2 linked regions of the Rhinolophus ferrumequinum genome follow. The protein of the gene in region 1 interacts with the protein of each later gene in a pairwise test. Links are inferred from orthologs where the notes say so. Each region holds a gene or a part of one and is shown on either strand. Other genes may lie near its edges.

Region 1 (11,784 bases):
TCCTTCCTGTTCCAATTCCCAGCTGGCTCAGTCTGGTTAGAAAAGGCCGCAGCACTGGAGAGTCTCGACTGATTGATTCGAGCCTGGCCCCAGCAGACTCTAGGGGCCAATGGATGCCATAACCAGTCTCCTCAACCTGAGGGAGCAGCCCAGCCTGGCTCTCTTCTTCCAGATCTCTGGCACTGAAGGACTTAGGGAAGTTGGGCCTAGGAGGGGAAGAGGCCCGAAGGGAATATCTAGGACAAAAGTTATCTATTCAGAGACTGTTCCTGAGACCTACGGTAGCTCTGCCCCACGAAGGAGGGAGCAGCAGTAGTACCCAGATCTAGTCCTGTACAGTGTTTTTTTGTTTTGTTTTTACTTATTTTTTTTTTAATATGAAATAAGGACTTGGGGAGAGTGGGTATTGGGGAAGGGGTTGGGGTTCCCTGGGGTTGAGGGAAAGATGTCCCTTCTCCACACCCACTTTCTCTATCTGCAAATATATTTTGGAAAACAGTTGGGCCCCAGCTTATGCCTGGGGCTGGCTCTGTGCCATCCCTTACTGCTTACCTCCTAACTTAAAAAACTCAACTCATTTTTTTCCTGAAGGGAGTGGCTAGTAATCTTTAGGAAACCTGAAAGAGAAGCCTATCTTCCAGCTTTCTAGCTTTCGGGTTGGGGGCGGGGGGTGGGCAGTGGGATCTGGGAATTGGGATTGTGATCTGAGAGCCCTCTGACATTCTTGCTTAGAAAAAACAAAAAAACCGGATTTCTAAGGACACCCACTAGATTGGGGTAATTTCTTCCTTGTGGGTAGGGGTGTTGGGGGAGGGGTGGAGGAAAGAAGAGGAGAGGTCTACTGTGTGACTCTTTTCTTGCCTTGGCTATGAGAGAGGAGATCATTGAACTAGAAGTAGCGATCCAGAAAAAGCCCACCCATCCAGCACGCCCACCCTGGTTAAAGGCTGGGCTGGCCTTTGTGCTCCCCGAACCACGCCCCCACTCTCAGACTGGACATAAAAACACACACTAGTTGGCACAGGTGTTTGTAGTGCCACTTTATTGCCAATAGCTGACATTGCTCAGGGCTAGTGAAAATAAATTAAAACTACGATGGCATCCGACAGTTATGGCTAAGCTGGAGACGGAGGTGGGCTTTTGTGGGCACTGATCCTGGGAAGGGGGTATAAGATGGCTGTGGAAATGTCAACGGAGAGGCTCTCCCACCGAGACCACATAAGTTTCTATTCCCTCCTGGTACCCAAAAGGGCAAAGTGGAGGCCAGGGTCTCTTAGCTACCAGGAGCTAAGGGAAAGAGGCAATGGGAAACCCTCAGCAGGACCAAAGGGGAGACCAAGGCTTGGATCCCAGAAGAGCAGGAACCCGGAATCCCATGTAGTCACAGAATGACGCAGGGAGGTCGGCTGTTGGTGATCTTTTCTAGGGGTTCTCCATTACTGGCTCTTCGGATGGCCTCAATGAGCTAGAGGGCAGACATGTGGAATGGGATGATGTGTTGTAGGGGTAGGGTGAACCAGGGGGTACTTCCAACATGGCAAATACTCACATCTTTCTCATAAGGGAAGCCCCCATTCTCCAGCTTGGAGAAAACCAGCTGTCCATTGATCTCGATCTCAAAGGCGCCTGGTAGTAAATAAACCAACAAATGAACTGTATGCTGAGAACAGGCAAAAGTTGGGAGATCCTCCAAAGGTGGGCCTTCTACACAACTTAGACTCACTCCTTCATGTCCCCCTTGGCCCCATTAGAGGCTCTTGTAGTTCTTTAAGCAATTTTCCAAGCCTGGGTCAAGCCAAAGGAACCTACAGAAAGTGTCTGTCACTTGTGTATCCTTTCTTTGAACTAAATGAAGGGCTCCCTCCTCTCAAATCTATACTTCAGTCTCATCAGTTTTTCTCTACAGGCTTCATCTGTGACCCCCTCTCCTATGGGAGGGGCCTCAAGTTGGCTGGACATATACTATGTGCCAGATCCTGCTGGACACTAAAACAGCCAATGCCGGAGCTAAAAACCTTAGAGGTGGGATTTAAAAACACTGACTCAGCAGGTGTTCTGCGGGCCTCACCTGTGCCCCCCAGGCGCGACTCAATCTCGATGCCAGGATACTGCTCTTTCACGGCACTCGCCAGCTCCAGGTAGGTCGACTCGAAGCCGCAGGGTTCACTAGGAAGAAGATGCCTGGGGTCCGCTTGGGTTTCGGGGTGGGGGGGCTCCCGTGGACCCACCCCCGTCCGGGCCGGAACCCCACCGGGCAGAGCTGCTCACCAGTACTCCACCACGATGCGGACCCCACTGCCAGGTTCGAGCTCCCTGGGATGGGGCGCTGCAGACGTCGGCCCCAGGTCCCCGCTCATTGCTGCGGGCTCCGCTTCAGCCGCTGCTTCCGGGTGTGACGCGACGCCGCAGGCACGTGAAGGGGCGGAGTCGCGCGTTACGTCCGGGCGTCCCCTTGCGGGCTGCTGCTGCTGGTCTGTTTTGACCCTATTCTTAGCTAGAAAGCTGGGCACTCGGTGGACTAGTCCAGACCACGTTACCTACGCGCTGATTCTACGAGATCCTGGGCTTATCCCGCACCGGGTGTCCGCTGGACTTCACCGCCTTATTTGATCTAATGAAATATCTTAAACTGCAAAGCGCTTTCCAGGAAGAGAATGTGGTGGAGCAAGGGGTCTCAGGGTCTAGGGTTGGCTGATGGTATAGAATAGTTGCCATTTCTCGCTAACATGCTGATGGCATTTTAAACCATCCCACAGCCACACCCTCAGGTATTTCTGACTACACCATAGACACAACCTAGGGCAGTGACCACGTCTCCCCTGCATTCAGGAACCATAGGTTTTGGGGCTCCCCCTCAAGCTGTATGCGCCCCATCACGTGCACCCAGTTCCTGCACCTCCCCTGTTAGCCCAGCTTCACTACAGGTTGGCATCATTATTCTCATTTTGCAATTCTAGAAATGGAAGCTGTCTCCCTGTCTCTTCCTGGCTTCCCACCATAGCCCACCATAGCATACTAACAGGTCACCCACTCTACCATTTCTTTAAACCATTCATTGGATTTCTTCAAACCATTCATTGTTTTTCCATTTATTTATTTCCTCTATCTATCTATCTATATTAGTATCAGGAAAACCATTTTTTAAAGATTTTATTGGGGAAGGGGAACAGGACTTTATTGGGGAACATTGTGTACTTCCAGGCCTTTTTTCCAAGTCAAGTTGTTCTTTCAGTCTTAGTTGTGGCGGGCGCAGCTCAGCTCCAGGTCCAGTTGCCAGTTGCTAGTTGCAGGGGGCGGAGCCCACCATCCCTTGCAGGACTGAGGAATGGAACTGGCAACCTTGTGGTTGAGAGCCCACTGGCCCATGTGGGAATCGAACCGGCAGCCTTCAGAGTCAGGAGCACAGAGCTCCAACTGCCTGAGCCACTGGGCCGGCCCAGGAAAACCATTTTGTAAGCAATGATTTATAGAGTTGTACAACCATCACTACAATCCAGTTACAGAACATTTCCATCAAGCTCAAGAGGTCCCTCCAGCCTGTTGGCAGTCAATTCATCTCTCAGATCCAGCCACTGATCTGCTTTCTGTCTATAAATTTGCCTTTTCTGGACATCTCGTATATCAGATAGAATGATACAATATGTGGTCTTTTGCTTCTGGCTTCTTTCATTCAGTGTAGTTTTTGAGATTCAACCATGCTGTAGTATTACCAGTAGTTTGTTACTTTTTTGTAGCTGACTAGTATCCCATTGTATGGATATGCCACCTTTTGTTTATTCAATACCGATGAATAGACATTTGAATTTCCAGTTTTTGGCTATTTTGAATAATGGTGCTATGGACGTTCATGTAAGTACATACAAAGAGTATGTACATGTGTGTCCACGTTTCTTAGGTAGATTCCTAGGAGTAGAATTGCTGGGTTGAATGGTTAGTTTATGTTCAACTTTTTAAGAAACTGCCAAACTGTTTTAAAAAGTGGCTGTACCATTTTACATTCCCGATAGCAAAATATATGAGAATTTGTTTCCCCATATCTTTGTCAACACTTGTTGCCTATCTCTTTGATTATAGCCATCCTGGTAGGTGTGAGGTGGTATATCATTGTGGCTTTAGTTTGCATTTTTCTAATGACTAATGATGTTGAGCATCTTTTTATGTGCTTACTAGCCATTCATGTATCTTATCTGGAAAAATATATATTCAAGTATTTTGCCCATTTTTTTTTTTTAAGATTTTATTGGGGAAGAGGAACAGGACTTTATTGGGGGAACAGTGTGTACTTCCAGGCCTGTTTTTCCAAGTCAAGTTGTTGTCCTTTCAATCTTAGTTGTGGAGGGTGCCGTTCAGCTTCAAGTTGTTGTCCTTTCAGTCTTAGTTGTGGAGGGTGCAGCTCAGCTCCAGGTCCAGTTGCCATTGCTAGTTGCAGGGGGCGCAGCCCACCATCCCATGCAGGAGTCAAGGAGTTGAACTGGCAACCTTGTGGTTGAGAGCCCACTGGCCCATGTGGGAATCGAACCGGCAGCCTTCGGAGTTAGGAGCATGGAGCTCCAACCACCTGAGCCACCGGGCTGGCCCTATTTTGCCCATTTTTAATTGGGTTGTCTATTACTGATTCGTAAGCATTTTTTATTCTAAATTCAAAGTCCCTAACTGGATAGATGACTTGTAAATATTTACTCCCAATGTTTGACAAGTTTCTTGTTTTAATTTTCTTAGTTATATCTTTTTTTTTTTAACTTTTATTTATTTAAGCCTGTTTTTCCAGGACCCGTCAGCTCCAAGTCAAGTAGTTGTTTCAATCTAATTGTGGAGGGCGCAACTCACAGTGGCCCATGTGGGGATTAAACCGGCAACCCTGTTGTTAAGAGCTCACGCTCCAACCAACTGAGCTAACTAGCTGCTCCAGTAATGTCTTTTGGAAGGCAAAAAATTTTAGTTTTGATGAAGTTTAATTGACCAATTTTTTTCTTTTGTCACCTGCACTTTTGCTGTATGTGAGATACAAGATCATAAAGATTTTCTCCATTGGTTTCTTCTAGAAGTTTTATAGTTTCAGCTCTTATGTTTAGGTCTATGATCTATTTTGAATTAATTTTCATACATGGTGTCAGGTAAGGATCTATATTCATCTTTAGGCATGTGGATATTCATTCGTCCCATAACCGTTTATTGAAAAGATTATCCTTTTACCCTGAATTGTCTTGGCATCTTTGTCAAAAATCAATTGACCAGAAATGTAAGGTTTTATATTTGGACTCTTGATTCTGTTCCATTGATCCATACATCTATTTTTTGTTTCTTTCTTTCTTTTTTTTTATTGGGGAAGGGGAACAGGACTTTGTTGGGGAACAGTGTGTACTTCCAGGCCTTTTTTCCAAGTCAAGTTTTTGTCCTTTCAATCTTAGTTGTGGAGGGCGCAGCTCAGCTCCAGGTCCAGTTGCTGTTGCTAGTTGCAGGGGGTGCAGCCCACCATCCCTTGCGGGAGTCAAACCTGCAACCTTGTGGTTGAGAGGACGCGCTCCAACCAACTGAGCCATTTGGGAGCTCAGCAGCAGCTCAGCTCAAGGTGCCATGTTCAATCTTAGTTGCAGGGGGCGGAGCCCACCATCCCTTGCAGGACTCGAAGAATTGAACTGGCAACCTTGTGGTTGAGAGCCCACTGGCCCATGTGGGAATCGAACCGGCAGCCTTCGGAGTTAGGAGCATGGAACTCTAACCGCCTGAGCCACCGGGCCGGCTCTGTTTCTTTTTTTTAATTAAAAAAATTCAGATACAATTTATACACAGTAAAATTCACCCTCTTGAGTGTACCTTTCTGTGAGTTCTGACTCACAGTTGTATATCCACCACCAACACCAAGATACATAACAGTCCATTACTTCCTACAGGTCCCTGTGACCCTCTCCCTCCACCCCACCCCAACCCCAGATCTGCTTGTTTTAGTTTCACCCCCTCCAGAAAGCCTTAATGGAATCCTACAGCACTCAGTCCTCTGGCTTCCCTTTCTAAACTATCCTTCAACATCCAGAGTGATCTTTCCAAAATAAAGATCTGCCTGTTCCTCTGTGCCTCTATTTAAGCCCAGGTAGACCCTGCAGGGTCTGGCCTCTGCCCACACATAGTTCCTGCTGGTCTGGACAGACAGGATGGATGGCTCTTAAACCTGGTTCACAGAACAACCACCTGAGGGCTTGTCAATACCACACATTCCTGGGTCTTGGCCCCAGAAACAGATTCAGAGGTAGGGAGGGGAACCTGGATCTGTTTTTCATACAAGCCTAGGGAGATGTAGAGGCAGGTGGTCACCGGCTACACTTTGAGAAACACAGCTGAGTCCAAAGCACTTGCCTTTCCCCACACCTTCCACAGCCACTTCCCTGCCCCAGACAGCTTCCCCTCTGCTCAAATGTCACCTCAAGGGAGAAGTCTTCTTTAACTCCCTGGGTGAGTCATTCTCCCAGCATCGTTTGTCACCTGTTGTTTCTTATTATTTGTATAATTCTTTGATTAGCATCAGTCTCCCGACTGGGCCACAGGAGGACAAGGGCGCGGCCTGTGTTTGTTGCTTACCACTGGATCCCCAGTACCAAGCATGGGTTTGGCCTAGAATAGATTCTTAACAAATATTAGTTGAATGAAGGAATGACTGAGTGAACTGTCTACTGTGCTTTGCATAAGCTACTCCATGGCCCAGGTGACCTACCCCCTCCCCCACTTCTTTGCTTAGTCCACTCACACTGGTTTTTCGGAGAAAATGTAGTTTGGAGAAAGTGGAGGCTGGAGCCACTTTTCATGGTCTCCCAGGGCAGACCTCTTATCACCCTATGGGTTGTTTTGTTTACCCAACTGTCACCCACTTCAGGCTGGGAGGTGGCCTCTGCCTTTGATCTCAGCCTCCCAGGTCCTCCCCTCCACACCCCAGTGTTTGCCTAGTGCAAAAGGAGAGAGCCAAAGTGAGCGCTCTAGGGGAGTACCCTGGCACCTGGCCAGAGCTTTCCCTACCAAGAGACCATGACTTACCCCTTCAATTTCAGGAGAAGCTAAGCCCCTGCATTTTGCTCAGAAGGGAGGACATACCCTCCGTGCCTCAAAGGAGCCAGGATGCAGCCCGGGGGGCCAGGCTGTGGCTGGAGGTCAAGAGGCAGGCCGAGTTGCCGGACACTCCTCTGATTGGCGGCCCCCTTTTGTCGAGCGCCCTTTGCCCCAGGGGGTGGGACCCAGAGCAGGCCCCCAGCTTTGGCCAATGAACACTCCAGGTTTGGGGGGTGGGGGCAAGGGGAAAAGTGGGCGGGGCCGTTTCCTCTCACCTCGTCCCCCAGTCCCTCCCTCCCAGGCTGTGAGGTCTTAGCTCTTGAGGCTATTCAGTTCGACTGTCTCCGCCTCTCCCCTGGCACCTGCTGCCAGGCTAAGAAGGGTAAAAACAATCCCAGCCGGCGTACAGTTTCAGGGAGTCCCCGCCCAGCCTAAGCTTCCTCCTCCCATGCCGCTCCTCCAGGCCCCACCCCCACCTGCCCAAGATAATTTTAGTTTCCTTGCGCCAGGAGCCGGTACACACTGGGCTCACCCTCCCCCCCGCCCTCACTTCTACATCCAAAGGCGGGACACCCTCCTACCACCTGTACAGAAGAGGGAGCGGATTTGAAATCAAGTCCAGGTGTCTAGGGTCCCTAGACTGTGCCGATCTTCGGACTCTGTGTCCTGCTACTCCTGCTGAGGTTTTTACAGGTAAGGGGGCAGAGATCAGTCCCAGACGACAACCTGCACCCCGCCCCCCAGCCGCACCGGGGCCCCAGGCTGTGCCCGTCTCAGGGCCAGGAGCTGGCTGGCTGCCCAGGTGAGCGGCCGGGCGGCCAACTGGCTCCCTCTCCTGTTCCCCCCTCAGTGATGTCAGGCCAAGGGCGGGGGCAGGAGGGGGACAGGTAGTTAAGGGCTTGGCGTCTCCCTCCCCAAATCGGAGGCCCCAGCCAGGTGTCACCAACGCCCCGGGTCCAGGTAAGGACCAAAGCGGGCATTTCATCTTGGGAGGGTGGGGAGCACCGTCAGGACCGGGGACAATATGGGAAGATTCGGCCTCCTGCTGTGTTACTCCGGCGGCCTCTCTTTCTGTTTTCCTCTAGCCCCCCATCCCTCCCCTTCCTCACCGTCTGCCCTCAGCCTTTCCCTATCCTCATTTCCTGTCCTCTCCAACCGTTCCTTCCCTCTCTGTACCCAACCTTCTCCCCCCGCCCCCCGGATCAACTAGCACATGGGGACGGGGAAGTTCGATGTCAGATTCTCTACTCCGGGAGACGCGGCTTTCCCGCTGAAACTAGCCCCTCCCCACCCCCATTCTCAGAAGGCGAGCTAGGAGGGGGGTCCGAATATCGAGGAAGCTGCCCCGGAGTCACTCCCTAGCTCAGCCTGATTTTTACCTCAGTTTAAGTTTCCCCAAGTCTTTTACTAAAGACCGACATCTCTGCGACGGGAGGGAGGGTCTCGTTTGGAGGGCAGTTAAAGAGGGATTCTCTACGTTGCTAGAGCTTCGTCTCTCCGGATTGTACCTGTGTTCAGGAACACAGGGTCCTGCCCTCGAATGGGAGAATGGGGGCGGGGAAGGTCCAGGGTCCCTCCTGGCTTCAGAACAAAGTGGGCTGGAAAGGCTGGAGACCTGGCTGCTGGGGTGGTCAGCCGCACAGCGCGGCCTGGGGAGAGTGTGTGTGCGTGTTGGGGGGTCGGGGGGGAGGCAGATGGTCTCGTCTGTTTGAATAGGCCGGAGAAAGACCCAGGTCCCAGTCTGGGTCTCCCTGGCTCGTTGAGGATGGAGAATGCACCTGTCCGTGGTTGAAAGGTGTCCTAACCCCACTGCCACTCAAGAATGCCCCCTCTTGGTCTGCCTTTCATGGACTCTGCTCTCCCCTTCACCCCTGATACCCCCCGGGGGGGCCCTCCGCGAAGGCAAGCAGCCAGTAATGATTAACTCCACAGACACTCTAGCATTCTTACCAAATTAAACTTTAAAAGAGCTGCCCCCCCTTCTCCCATTGGGCGTTTCTTTTCTGAGCAAGGGAGTAGGCGGGGCCTCAAGGTCCAGGGCCCTCCCCCCAACTCCGGGTCACAGAGGGGTTCCCCGCCTCCTCACCTGGGCCCTGCACCATAAGAGCTCCCCCAAAAGTTGAGCCTTCCCCGCTACAATCAATCGCGATGGGGGCGGGGCATGAAGTTCTGGGCTAGACCCGGTCTTCCCTCCACGTCCAGGGCCCCAGCCCAGGCCTCTGTCCTGCTAGCCCCTCCCCCCACCCTGGGAAGCACCGAACGTGGCCTTGTTTTCTGTCGGCCTTAAACACTGGGCCTTGCCACCCGCCCTTGGGGCCAGCCAGGTGGGGCAAGATTCAGGAAGTAAACAAGGAGGCAGGAGGCAGGAGGCAGGCAGGGAGGGAAGGAGGGTGGGGCCGGAGCCGCCGGGGCAGGAGAGGCGGTGGGGAAAGCCGCTGCTTGGACTTGCAGTGTTTAGGGGACAGATTGATTCTGGGGTTTGGCTTCAGCAGAAGCGAATTTCCTAAGGCCCCAGTTTGAAAGCTTTAGCTCTCTTGGGAAGGAGGCTTGTCCAGGCCCCACAGCTGGGACCCCAGTTCTCCTATTTCATCTCTTTGGTCCTGATTGTGCCACTCTTCTCTTTGCCTCAGAAGGGTCTGGAAGAGGCGGGGTGGAGGGATCTGAAGACCAAACCCAAGTTTGAGGCCATACTAATCTGATTTAAATCTGCCCTCTCCCCTTCCAAACACTGCCCTGATTCCTCTTCCATCTGGGATGGGGGAGGACCCAGACTCCTCCCCGACCCCCCCCCCTCGCCTCTGGCTTCCAAGAGGGGTAGCCTCTGCAAACCCTCTCCCTAGTCCTCCTCGTGGAAGCGTTGTGTTCTGGTGGTGATGTACTGGTGTCTATCAGGATCAATGGTGGGAATATCTTCCCCTTTCCCAGTAGGATACTGAGCCCCTTCCTTTGCTCTCCCTCCTGGACCTTTCCTTGTCTGCTTGTCTGTCCTCCTGGGTGTCTTGACTTTCTGCTCCTGCTCCTGGGGTCCACCTCTTGCCAGGACACTAGGAGAATGTGTAGGAGGGCCTTCATCCCCCGTGAGCTGGCTGAGTCCTGGGTACTAGGGCCGGGCAGCAGCAGCAGAATGAAAGCCTGGGAGGCCCCATATAGTAGAGGGAGCAATGCAAGCTTTCTTTGGGTGAGTGAGGGACGCCCCTGGGAGGATGGCTCCACTACCGATGGGCCTCTAAATCCAGGCCTGATTTTTCTTCTCTCTTGTCCGGACTGGGGTGCTCCTGGGTTGGGTGGTGGTGACTGGACTGGGGACAGATTGCAGGTCCCACCTGGACTGGAGATGTGGAGGTAGGCCGAGGGTGAGGAGGAAGAGATGATGTCAGAGGAGCCTCAGGCCCTGTATCCTCCTCCCTTGCTCCTCCTCATCCCCTGTTGTGTTCCTTGCCCTGTGCCTTCCCTATTCCTCCCAGGCTGGAAGGTTGGGGGCGGGAGTGGAGGCGGTGTGTAGAGGCAGGGTTGTTTGTGTTTCTCTTAAGCCAGGAAGTTGTGCAGATGAGTCAAGGTTGAATGGAGAGCCCCAGGCAGTACCATCCCGCCCCACCCTGACTCAGCTGTCCCCCAAGTCCCCTCATGCCCACACTTAAGGGTCAGGGACGTGCCCCATTCTGGAGGGTCAATCCCAGTGCCCCAGGCAGCCTAACAACACTGCCCAGGGTCTGGAGAGCAGGCAGGGGGCTGGAACTGGTGATGTCTCCCAGGTCCTCCCTGGTCTCAGCCCAGCCAAAGGGATCTTGGTTCCTGTGGGGGAGGGGCCTGCATTACCTCTACCCCCAGTGGGCATCTTTGCCCCATTTCTCCTATCCTTACTCATCCTGGGTGCCCATGCAGCACCTGTGGGTGCTAAGACTTGGGGAAGACCCTGGCCCTGCCTAGGAGAGCCGAGTATCTCCAGACCAGTGGGTTGATAAGACAGGTGCACAGTAATTGGCGAGGAAGCCCCAGTGCAGTACCCTGGGAGCCCTTCCAACTGAATGTAGAAAATTCAGGAAGGCTTCTCAGAAATGGTAGGTCTGGCATTGGGGCTTTAAGAAAGTTGGGCAGTTGGAATGGCCTGGGGAGGGCACACGGGTTTGGGGGCTGCTGGGGCCAGGGCCCCAGGCTAGCCCTCCCCATCCCACTGCAGCTGACCCTGCCCCCCTGGTACCTGTTCTTACTCACCTCCTCCTCCCCTTTGCATCACTCAGCACTTGGGCAGGCGTTGCCACAACAGGCTCTGGCAACCAGGTCTGGCAACAAAGCACTGGAAGAACCTGGGGCAGAGCCCAGAGGAGTAAGTGCCCCACGCTCGGAGAGAGAGGAGTGGCCCTTTGCTCTGACACTGAGAGCTTGAGCCCCAGACAAATCTGTGGGTCCTGGAATCTGTTGCTGTTGCCCGGCTTGTAGTTGGGGGACCCTCTTAGCTCTTGTCTTGGGCAACTTGGGGCTAAAGGAAGAGAAGAGCACTGGACTAGGTGTCCCAACACTGGGTTCCTCTCCCTGGCTTATCTGTGATGGGAGCGAGAATGCTTCCTTCTCAGGGACTTGGTGCCCCCTTTTGTAAAATGGACTAACTTTTCTTTTCCCAAAGTTTCCAGGGAAACTCCAGTTAGAAGGGAAACAATGAGGTACTAGGTAAACTCTGAGCGGCACCTGACATCTATGTGAAGTGAGGAAGTCGGGGTCTTCTTGGCTCCTCTCCCCAAGACAAAGGCACAA
Region 2 (11,117 bases), on another chromosome or scaffold:
TTGGGCAAATTACCTAATCTCTCTGTGCTTTCATTTCCTAATTTATAAAATGAGGATAATTATATCAATAATATCTATATCATCAGGTTTCTGTGAGGAGTAAATGGATTATTACATGTAAAGTATTTAAAATCACTCCTGACACCCAGAAAACACTAAAAAATATTTGCATTATTATTAAAGGGGCAGCTGACACACAGAATCAGCTGATTATGGCCACTTAGGGATGCTGGTTTGATGTTTCCAGAATTCCTGAATTTTCAAGAAAAGCTGGACATCTGGCCTTTAATGTGAAATCTTTTAGATTTTTAAATGTTGGGCCACTGGCTCAAAATGTTTTTCAGACATTTAGTCCAAGCTAAATATTTTTGTAGGCTGAAGTCAGTTTGGGATCTAAGCTCTAGATGCAAAATCCCCTCAGGACCCACCTGAGTCTTGGAGTGGAGTCTTTTCTTTCTTGCCCTTTACCAGTGGAGCCCAAGTATGGGACAGGTGGAAAGAGGAGGAAGCAAAGCTGGCAACAGGGAGGTAGCCATATGGTAAAGACAGGCTAGGTAGCACCACCATCATCAGCATAACTGCATTTGCTTGAGATGACCGTAAAACCGAAGGGACTCATTCTTTAACAAGTAAACAAGAACTTAGCTATGGAAATGAGCACCCTAGTCCTCAGAGCGGTCCCTCTGCTGTGCCTCTGCTCCACGCTGTGTGGGACTCCTCTGTGGGAGCTGCCTTCAGAGCCAGGTGAAAAGACACATGGGATTATTAATTGTAACACTTCTTTTGTAACCTCAAAGGGTAGCTCGCATTTGATCAAACACTTTCTACACCAGTGCCAGTGACTTATGACTATTTCTGCTGTTGAGGATAATTGAAATAATTTGACACAAGCCCAAGAAGTAATTCCCAAAGCAGGGTTTTATGTCTGTTTTGAGCACCAACAGCAATGTTGGAATATCTGTGACCCTCTGGAGGTGAATTACTTTGAAAAGGACTATGCTTATTTGAATAAGCACATTATCATGTCTTTGTTAAAACAACCCATTACAGTTCTAACATCACGTCCTGGAGTATTGTTGCCCTGGTGCCCTTCTTAAAATCCAAGCACTTGCTCATATCTATCTTAATTTTTCTCCTTGGGCAGTAGGGAGGTCCTGAGGCTAGTCTTCCTGATTTATTAATAAGGTCGCAAGGGCGAGTGCCAAAGGACACGTTGTTCGACTCTGATGACAAGATTGAGGACCTGTGACTCTTTCACCTGAGTTTTTCTGCCAGAAATTAGTCATTTCTCCCAAGAAGCTGGTCATTTCACATGACTCTTACCATATGTGCTGAGGGAGGGCTGTCAGAGTTTCTGGGAAGGAGGTTCTCGGTACTGAAAATGCGTATACTCCTCAACTGATGTCTGCCTGAAAGGACAGAGAACAAATCCTGACGATAGTTAGCCAGTCCTAGCTTCAGCCTCAACACTCCCTGTATCATGAGTGAAGTGGGTTTGTGTGGTGTCTGATGTTTGCGGGCTGGTGTTCTGTAGCACTCCAGATGGTCAGTACTACAAGCATGGTGAGCTCTGAGACCTGGAGCCCTCCTCAGCTTCTGAGGTCACAGGGAACATGAGCACAAGGCTGTTGAGGCTGGGAAGGAAGCTCCTGGTGGGAACCCTCCCTGCCTGTCATGCTGGAAGCCATGTTATTCTTCTGAGTGTCTTCTCCATCCCTAGACACACCCATCTGTCCTCCGCTACCTTAACATCAAGAAAAAAACCCAAAACTAGACAACCCCTGCTCCCTTTTTAGAGCTCTCTAGGCCCCCCCACTGGCGTTGCATTTTATAGTCTATCTATCCCATTCTCCTCCATGCTCCCTTATGGGCAGGAAGTTCTAGAAGTTTAGAGGAAGTTGCTTCCAGGTGGTGAGAGGTGCATTTTGGGGGCAGAACTTCAGTATGTCAGGCCTCTATGGATTACAAAGAAAAACCTACCCAGCTCTTCTTGCCTCCGGGGCAAGAAGTCATAAATATTTTTGGCTCGTTGCCTGGGTCGAGGCAGAGTCCGTAAGGGCATGATGGTAACTTGCAGGTAAAGACCTCGCCCTGCATGGCAACGAGAGAGAAGGGGACTCTTGGGGATGAAATTGTCCCTGAAAGCATTTCCTCACCCAGCATCATAAAAACTGAATTTTTAGACTTGGCAAATTCCATTTGAGCTACAAAAATAGGGGGCTTGGTGGACAAAGCAGAAAACAGGGAAGAGAAAACGGGGGCACAGGGTTACTAGGGCAATGATTTTCAAAATGGATCCACAATCAGCACTGAGCCTTTTGGAGCCACAACCTACAATCTTAATTGAATCAAGGACCAGTGTGTCCTTGGTGCAATAGCGTATCCCTAGAGAATAAACTGGGCTTTAAATGCCAGGCTAGATTATTAGTCCTAGTGTGTCTCAACTTTGGACAAACAAGGGACTCACGCTTTTTCCGTTTATTCCAGTTCCACAGGACACAGAGAACCGCGATGACCAGGAGGACGGCGAGGAGTCCCGCAAACCCAGAAAAGATGCTGCTGCTCTGGTCTTTATATCTAAGAGGAAAACCGAGTGCCAGGACCCAGCTGTGGGAGGGTGGGGAGGTTGGAGAAAATGCTTCTTTCAGGAGTTTGAGCCAATTTGGAATGGAAGCCGGGTACAGGAAGGCTGAGGTGGGATAGGCTGTGTAGTGGAAGACGGCCATCTCTTCGTGGGCAGAGGGAAATTGTACGCTGGAGAAGGACTATCCTGTGTGAATACCTATTGGATGCCTGGGTTTTGCATGTGATACTTATTTAATCTTTGCAACAGTCCCATCTCTCTTTGTGGCCAAGGAACCTGAGATTTAAACTCAGAAAGGTAAAGTCACATATCAGAGATCACACAGGCAGGAAGGAGCAAAATTGGAATGTGAGTCTAGGTGTGCCCAAAAATCGTGCTCTTTCCACTGCATCACACTGACCTCCAAACTTGCAGAGTCAAGTTCATCAGCCCTTGCTTCCCCTCATTCCGGATCCTGGGTGGATTACCCAATTTACAGTTAGAGTGTGGCTCTGTGACAGTCCAGCTTGTGTGCACTTGGGTAACTTTCACAGGACCAACAACTTGTGGAGCTGGTCTCCAAGCAACACTCTGTTCTGTTGAATTTAACCAATGCAAATGCACCGAGCAAGTTCTGTGCCACTTGCAATTCCCCTGCGGGGCTGGCATTCGTGTTCTGCGTTGTCTATTGTAACAGCAAGTAGCCAGAAGGAATCACTAGCTGACCTGCCACCCCCAAATATAGGAACCAGGTCATCCATCAGGGAAAGATTTTGTCCTCCTGAGTTCTAGGCTTGTTTATCCAACTTTGTACTGGGCATTTCCACTAGGCTGCCTGACATCTCAAACCAAATCTGTCTGAAACAGAACTATTCTCTCCCCATAAACCTCCTCCTACTCTGGGGTTTCCCATCATCTAGTAGCTCAGTCTAAAACCATCCTTGACTGTTCTCTTTCTTTCATGACCCACTTCTAGTCAACCAGCAGATTCTGTTGCTCAGTCCTAGGCATCTATCCCAGATCCCATCACCTCTCATTCCTCCACTGCCACCTCCTGGCCTAAGACACTGTGTGTTCCACATGGACCTTTGCGACGACCTTCCTAATTGGTCTCCATGTTTGCACTCTCAGCGCCAGCATACTATCTTCACACATGAGCCAGTGTGATCCTCTAGAAGGTTAATCAGATCACATTGCTCTTCCACTTGCAACCCTCCATGATTTGCCATCACACCTGATAATAGCCATAGTCCCCACCCAGTGAGGACTTCATGGCATCTTATGTTCTGGCCTCTGCCTATCTTCTGACCTTATTTCCTACCAACTTTGACTTTGACCACCAGGATTCCTTGCTGTTCCTTGCCGGTGCAAATCATAGTCCTGTCTCAGACCTGTCTGCATGGCTCAGTCCCTCATTTCATCCAGGTCTTTTGTGAATGTCACCTCCTCAGATAGGTCCTCCCTGGCCACACCTATTATTCTCAGTCCCCTTACTCTGATTATTCTTCATAGCATTTATGACTGACGTTATAGTATACATTCATTTGTTTAGCTGTTTCTGATCTCCCACTTGATTGTAAACTCCAGGAAGTCACAGACTTGTCTACCTTGTTCACCTGGAATCTAACAGTGCCTGGTACTTACTAAGGGCCTGATGAATATTGGTTAAATGCATGAGTGAGTGAATTAATAAACAAATGAATAAATACAGAAATCGTTTTGTTTTTTTTGTGTGGGGGACACTCCAAGGTTCTGACTTTATAAATTTAACTCCCATCAATGCTCCTGCCCACCTGCAAGTGACATGTGTTTGTCATGGTAATATTTATTTCCCCAAATTACAGCAATTTAAAATTTATTATACTTGTGTTGTTATCATAGCACTGAAATTTAGACCTACCAGTGTTCCTAAAGTTTCAACTGCTGATGGACTTTTATTTTTGTTAGTAAGATACTGAACGTAAAGATATAGCAGTAAAATTGATATCTACAACTAGTTCTGTGAGATTGTATGTCCTAAAGATATATCTTTAAAAAATATAATCATAACTATGGCTCATGGCAAATTTTTAGGACCTAAAAACACATCTTTGGAAAAAGTGGGCCTTCTGTTTTCATCATGGTGGACCTAGTATTTTTTTGAGGAGTGATTTGTGGGATCTGAGATAGGAAAGACTGAGGACTGTGATCAGGGCACCTGAGAGGTGAGAAATCCAACCAAGCCAGGCAGCCAGATCTCAGGAAATCCTGTGTTATCATAGCTTTTCCTTTCCCCCAATGACTCCTTTTACTCCTCAGTTCCTATTCCTTTCTTCCCAGTAACCTTGAGCAAATTTCTTTGAGCCTAGACTTTGATGGTTTTAGTGAACCTGAGTCTGGTTGTAGGTGGTAGCACTGTAGGATAGAAAACCCCCAAGGTAGATCAGGGCCCTCTGTGTAATTCAGGGAAGGGTGGAGTTCACCACCCTGAGCCACTTACCTGTCCAACCTGCCGAGAGTTACCTCTAGAGAGCTGGGCTCCGAGGTACTTCCTCTGATGTCTGAAAGTGTCGGGGTGATGACATCCATTGTCCACAGGAACCTCTTTGGCTTCAGCTTCTCCTTCTAAGCCTTCTCTTAAGCATAATTAGCTAGCCAGCATGTCTGCCACTTTTTCTGGCTTTTCCCAAGATTCTGTCCCCAGGAGAAAAGGCAAAATTGGTTTGCATTTTACATATAATCCTGTGTGGTAAAGCTACTTTTTTTAGTAGATAAGAATAACAGAAATCCTGTTGTTCTCCATCCATGACTTCCAAACACTCCCAGTACACAACTTTCTACTCTCGCAATTTATTCCTCTGAAATCTTTATTCACCACAGTCCCTCACCAAAAAAAAGTTTCTTGGTTTTTAAACTTCCAATCTTTCTAGAATTTTTCCCCCCAACAAACTCCCTACTATGTGTTTACCCCTGAAATGTCAGGCTGAGTTGACCCAAAATACAAAAACAACAAGTTTGGTTCTTCCTGGATGTGGCCACAAATGCCCATTGTAGAAGGGGAGAGTACATCTGGTGTCATGCTCCTTTTAAGGTGGCTCAGGGAGAAGCCATAGTCTTTGCCTTCTGGTGAAAATGTGAGGGGCACAGAGGTGGGAACTGCCAAGAGGCTAGAGAGAGAGGCTCCGTGAGAAGCTCATCTACTCCAGCCCCCAAAGCAGAGAAAAGAGCAGACACTTTGCCAGAATGGAAACAGAGAGTCAGTGACAGGAAGCGACACCACCAATGTGCTAATGAAACATGGTATACAGGAAATGCTGCTCAGCTTTTAATAAGAAAGAAAAAAGCACATTTGCACCCCCTGTTCCCTGGATTGGCCAGGTGCTCCATTGTCTATGGGGAGTGTGGGCAAGGTGGCAGGGCATTCACCAATCCTTCATCCTGGGTTTCTGAGGTATTTAGTGTTTTATAAGCCTCCAGGTTTCTAATTTTTTAACAAGTTTAAGGAGAACTGGAGAGTGCTTTTTAGACACAAATGCGGATCTCTAGCACCTGATGCTAATTCGCGGGTGGAGAGTGCTGAGTTTGTTTTCATAAACGCTGCCCAGGTGATTTTGATGGAGCTGATCTATTTCACATTTTGAGAACCTCTGTTCTGGGTATTGCCCCACAATGGAGATGACGCTGGGTTAGCAGAGCTCCTGGAAGCCATTTCAGCTCTCTCTTTCCCCCCCTACTCCCTGAAGGCCTGCCCTGAAGGCAGTCAGTGGCCCCAACTGCTAGCTGTCTTGCTCATAGGGCTCTTCTGGAGAAGGTGGATCCAGTCCTGCTTGTTGTGAACCTGTCTCAGAAGCCAATTGTTCATCCCTTGTGTCTACCTAAAGTGTCCCAAACTTTGAGGATAGTTCAAAATTTGTTTCTGACTCCCTTCCCCTCTTCCTCTTACCAATCTCCTAAAACTCTCTTTGCATCTTGGGAGAGTCCAAAGAGAAGGCGCCACTAAGACTATTAAGAGGGTGTGAAAAAGAGCCTCTGACTTTGCTTTCCACAAGAAAAGGGATTCCCAGGTGGATGGCAGGAAAGACAGCCAGTGCCTCACCACCATGCATCTCTCCCATCTCTTCCCTGTCAACCCCTGCCCTGCACCTGTCCAGGCCCTCACAGGTCCCCTAGTAGAGGGGGCCCCCTGTCTGGCTCTCCCTGGAGCTCTGCCATTCCAGGTCCTCACTGTCCCCACTGTCCCCACTGTCCAAGTTAGCCTTACCTGGCAGGATGCAGAGATGGCTCAGAGGCAGCTGGGTCTAGAGCTGGAATCTGGGTCTTTGTCCACTTCTCCTTTAGTTCGGGACTGAGTAAGAAATAGGACTCCTCACGGGAAAAAGATCCATTGCTCTGGTTAGTGGCTGGGACTGTTGGAACAGAGAGGCTCCCCAGGCCTGTCCTGAGCCACTGGCACCAATAGGAGACTGTGTGTGAACCAGGAACTTGAAAGATGATACACAGGAAGGCAGATAGAACCAAACCTTAGAACCCTGACTACTACTTGAAATATTTTTTTTTCCAAAATACTTCCCCCTGCATGTAATCATCTCTTTATCTACCCAGCCTGCTTGAGTTACACAAAACTTGCCTCTGGTCTTCTGATTCTCTCCTGCCTCACACTTGAGGGAAATAGCCTTCTCAAAGGAGGCTCCCAGGAGCAGAAGGAAGTCCAGGTTTCTAGGCCCTTGGCAGTACCCTTCCACCATGCTCTTCTTTCCCTCCCTATGGAACATAAACCAATTAAGCCAGCAATTAAAACACAAAATAGGTGTCTGAAGTTATTCATCATAATAGTGGAAGGAAATTATTCATTCCTGAGAAATAGCATATATGTTTTAAACCTGATTGCTCTAGTGTTTCCCTTTAACCACTTGTAATGATTTCGGAGGTTGAATGTGACATATGATTCTAAAGTATTGTTAAAGAGAAAACCACAGGCCCAAAATGGCCTCACTTGTGTTAAAGCCCATATTAAACCTAGACTTACTACTTGATTTAACTGCAGTTTCAGCTTCTCCCAGAAATATAATCTTAGTTAACCATTCTGGAATTTTCTAGTCAAACACCCCTAAGGTAATCTGTTGCTTGGGCCTTCTCCATCCACCCACCTCAAAGGAAGAAGAGGCAATCTGCATGACAGAATACTTGCCTTTCCATTCCCCCATAAAATAAGATGTTCTGGTTTAAAAATAATCCTTTTTGTTTTGCTAATGACTCCCCTGTTCCACCCTTCTTACTATAAAAACCATCCATTTTGTACAAGTCCTCAGAACGCCCCTCTACTCGCTAGATGAGATGATGCTGGATACATGAATCACTTAATAAAGCCAACTAGATCTTTAGATTTACTCGGTTAAATTTTGTTCTCTAACAGTATTAAAATTTATTTTAAATAGAACTTATGCATCCAAGTGAGCAAAACCCCTTGAGGGGAGGAGGCTACACGTTAAATCATCGATGTTGCTAATGTCAAACCTCTCAGAATCCTCTTTGGAAAGATGGAAGCCTTGCATTAAGAGTATCAACATGAGTTTAGATCCTAAATTACTATTTGGGTGATCTTGGGCAGGTCCTCTAACCTTTTTGGGTGTTTCCTTGGATGTATAGTGTCAATAATAATAGTACTTAGGTAAAGCTGTTGTGAGAGTTAATTGGGCTAACAATGAAAAATGCTTGGCCTTGGACTTGGCATGTGCAAGAAGAGCTCAGTTAAATGGGCTGCTGTTGTACTATTATCTCATGAGTCATGAGGCTTATTTCTTTATACTTAATGGACTTGCCACTTGCCTTCCCCCTTTCCTCTCTGGATGCTTGGCCTGCCTGCCTTCCCACGGCATGGGGCTAGCCACGGGCTGTGTCCATAAAATAGACTAGGTCCCTGCCCTCCCCTCATGCAGTGGTCAGTCTTGGCTGGCCACCGCTTGGAAGGCACTCTGCATTCCAAGCAGACCCAGCTTTTTGTCACTTTTCTACTTGGGGCCTTTGCATGACAAGTTTCTTCATTTTAATAACAGTTTCTTATTTTCTTGTAAACTTCCAATGAAGTCGCATTTTAAGAGTTTATTTTAATTATTTCTTGCTTTGGTGCTTGAGGTAGTTTGTTACTTTATCTGGACACTTATTGTTTGAATTATTAGAAAGATCAAGTGTCATTTTTATTTTTAAAAATTATTTTAATACAAAGTGACCTAAGTGTCACCACCTCTGTGAAGCCTTCCTCTCCCAAGAACCAGATTCTTTTTTGTCTGTGTCCCCACGGCACCATGCATGATACTGCCTCTCAGTTGTTGGGATTAGTTGTTGAAATGTCTGTCTCCCCAAGTAGTCTTTGAACCCCTTCCGGGCAGGAACTGTTGTATTTACTGAATCTCTGGCATTTGGCACAGTGCGAGTAAACTGGGCTCTCGGAGTTCCCTTAGGTGCTATTGCTGCTGTGAATTTATGACCTAAGTGTATAATGGGTGAGACATTGAGGAAGAAATCAGCGGCTAGTCTTTCTTCCTGTGTGCACTCATCAGCCAAAGGAAGAAGTCCTGCTCTCCCTGTTCTCTGCAGGAAGAGAACCCTGAACTCTTGGGTTGGGTCTCCTTTGCCCAAGGAAAGGGTTAACAGCGGCTTTTGTATTTCTGGGTCAAAACACCCAAATTACCCCATGTGAAAGACAATTTCAGCCAGGCTTTGTTTTTGAAGGTTTATTTGCTGAGACAACCAGGCAGAATTACAGTGGGGGGCCTTAATGGTGGCAATCCCCACCCTCCCTGTTCATTTGCTGGTATCCTGGATGCCTTCTCCAGTCCAGACAAGTCTGAAACAGAGAACAAAGGCAGCAAATACCTTCCTTTCAAGTTAAAGTTGTGAGACAGCAGGGTTAGGATAAAGAGATTTAGAAACTGTAGAAATGTTTCTCTAACTTGTCTGCTCCTTGTCCCCACTCCACCCAAGGCCCTTGGGAAGGAGGAGAATTTGAAAGCAAGAAGTGTGACCAGACAAGGGGATAGTTTCTGTTCCCCACTCAAGTTAAGCCTTAGTAGAGGAGGTGGGTTGGCACTGCTGACAAGGTAAGAGAGCCCTTTCTTTAAGCCTGAAAGGAGGGCAGACCTTGCCTACTTGGTCCTTCTGGAGTTCACCATTTATGAGCCTCACCTTGATTCTCTGTAGCTGCAGAGCCAGAGCAGAGATGGCTGTGAGGCATGTCTGACGAGCAAATGTCTGCTGACAGCCCAAGGCATCCCTTAGCCCACAGGTGCCCCTCCACCAGCCCACACATGCAGAGAGTTTCTGACCCCCGGGCCCTGACTGGAAGGAGGTGAACCCTCAGCAGAGGGAGCAGGGTGGGTAGTCATGTTAGGAATGTAATGAGGGCATAACGCATCTCAGAGGAGGCGGCAGGACAGAGGACCTGGGAACCAGACAGCCATATGACAGCAGGACTGAGAGGCTAGAGCAGGGAAGGCCTATAGAGCAGGTCAAGATGGTTTTCTGTTTCCTTCTTGTGGAGTGAATAGAATATAATTTCAATCATTTCATTAACCAGGGCATTGTGAACAAGCTAAGGTGGCAAGCAATATATCTTAATTTTTTTTACAAGCATTTTATTTTCATGATTTTTGCATCATAGGACAAGAGCATGATAGTAGGGCTTGGATTTACCTGTATCCTAAAGGATACCTGTATCCTAAAGGTATGAGGCTAGGCCCACATGTGGCATGTGTGGTAGCTAAAGCTGCATTGTTCTTTCATTTTTCCCTACATTGAGGTCACACAACAGCCAGCATGATTCCCTTAAACTGTGAGGTAGATCATCATTTCAGTCCTCAGTTCAAACCCTCCAATGAATTCCCATTTCATCAAGCCAACCTTATAATGGCTTGCAGGTTCTGCCCCCACTTCCAACCCTCCATCTCTGAATTTATCTCCTATGCTTTTCCACTTAGTCAGTCAGTTCCAACCCCTGGCTTCCTTGTATGTCCTCAAACAAATCAAGACCTCCTGCCTCAGGGCTTTTGAAGTTGCTGTGCCCTATGTTGGGAATCTTTTTCCTCCACATATTGATATAGCTCACTCTCTTACTCCCTTCACACGTCTTCACAAATGTCTCTGTCAGAGAGGACTTCCCTGACCACTCTACAAAAGAGCAACTCTCGTGCCCTGTGCTTCCTATTTCACTTGTACACTTTACCTTTCTCCTGGTCCTTGTTGACATTCGACATGCTATATATTTACTTGTGTATTTTTCTCTCTCTTCCACAAGACTGAGTTCAAAGAGGGCAGGACTTTGTTTTGTTCCCTGTTGTATCCCCAGTGCATACAACAGTGCATGGACAATAAACCCTTATTAAATGAATCAATGAAGCAACATCCAAGGGGAGGAGACAAGAACATAAAACATGACTAAGAGAGACCTCGCACAGATCTTGGCAAGTGCTAGCTAGTTCAGCACTACATTAGATTTGATTTAGGAAAGAAATAAAACAGATTTATTATACTTGCAGGGCTGTGGAGCAATTTGTCTTTGTTGCATGTGTAAGTGGCTGAG

What was found.
Region 2: the proteins of GRB7 (region 1) and LAX1 interact in binary tests that used the Homo sapiens proteins (3 or more experiments, as listed by UniProt). The two-hybrid records come from large-scale screens. The link is inferred for Rhinolophus ferrumequinum from reciprocal best matches to the Homo sapiens genes GRB7 and LAX1.

The regions. Positions count from the first base shown.
Region 1 is NC_046304.1:36,328,488-36,340,271, forward strand, and holds the start of GRB7 (growth factor receptor-bound protein 7), read left to right. Parts: upstream 1-7,552; 5' UTR 7,553-7,728; intron 7,729-7,814; exon of another isoform or gene 7,815-7,837; intron 7,838-7,848; exon of another isoform or gene 7,849-7,995; intron 7,996-11,784. Other genes in the region: MIEN1 (migration and invasion enhancer 1), read right to left, coding at 1,382-1,465, 1,550-1,626, 2,069-2,166, 2,269-2,357. UniProt on the Homo sapiens protein: Adapter protein that interacts with the cytoplasmic domain of numerous receptor kinases and modulates down-stream signaling. Promotes activation of down-stream protein kinases, including STAT3, AKT1, MAPK1 and/or MAPK3. Promotes activation of HRAS.
Region 2 is NC_046305.1:27,267,213-27,278,329, forward strand, and holds the start of LAX1 (lymphocyte transmembrane adapter 1), read right to left. Parts: upstream 5,132-11,117; coding exon 5,043-5,131; intron 2,578-5,042; coding exon 2,468-2,577; intron 2,092-2,467; coding exon 1,981-2,091; intron 1,410-1,980; coding exon 1,324-1,409; intron 1-1,323. UniProt on the Homo sapiens protein: Negatively regulates TCR (T-cell antigen receptor)-mediated signaling in T-cells and BCR (B-cell antigen receptor)-mediated signaling in B-cells.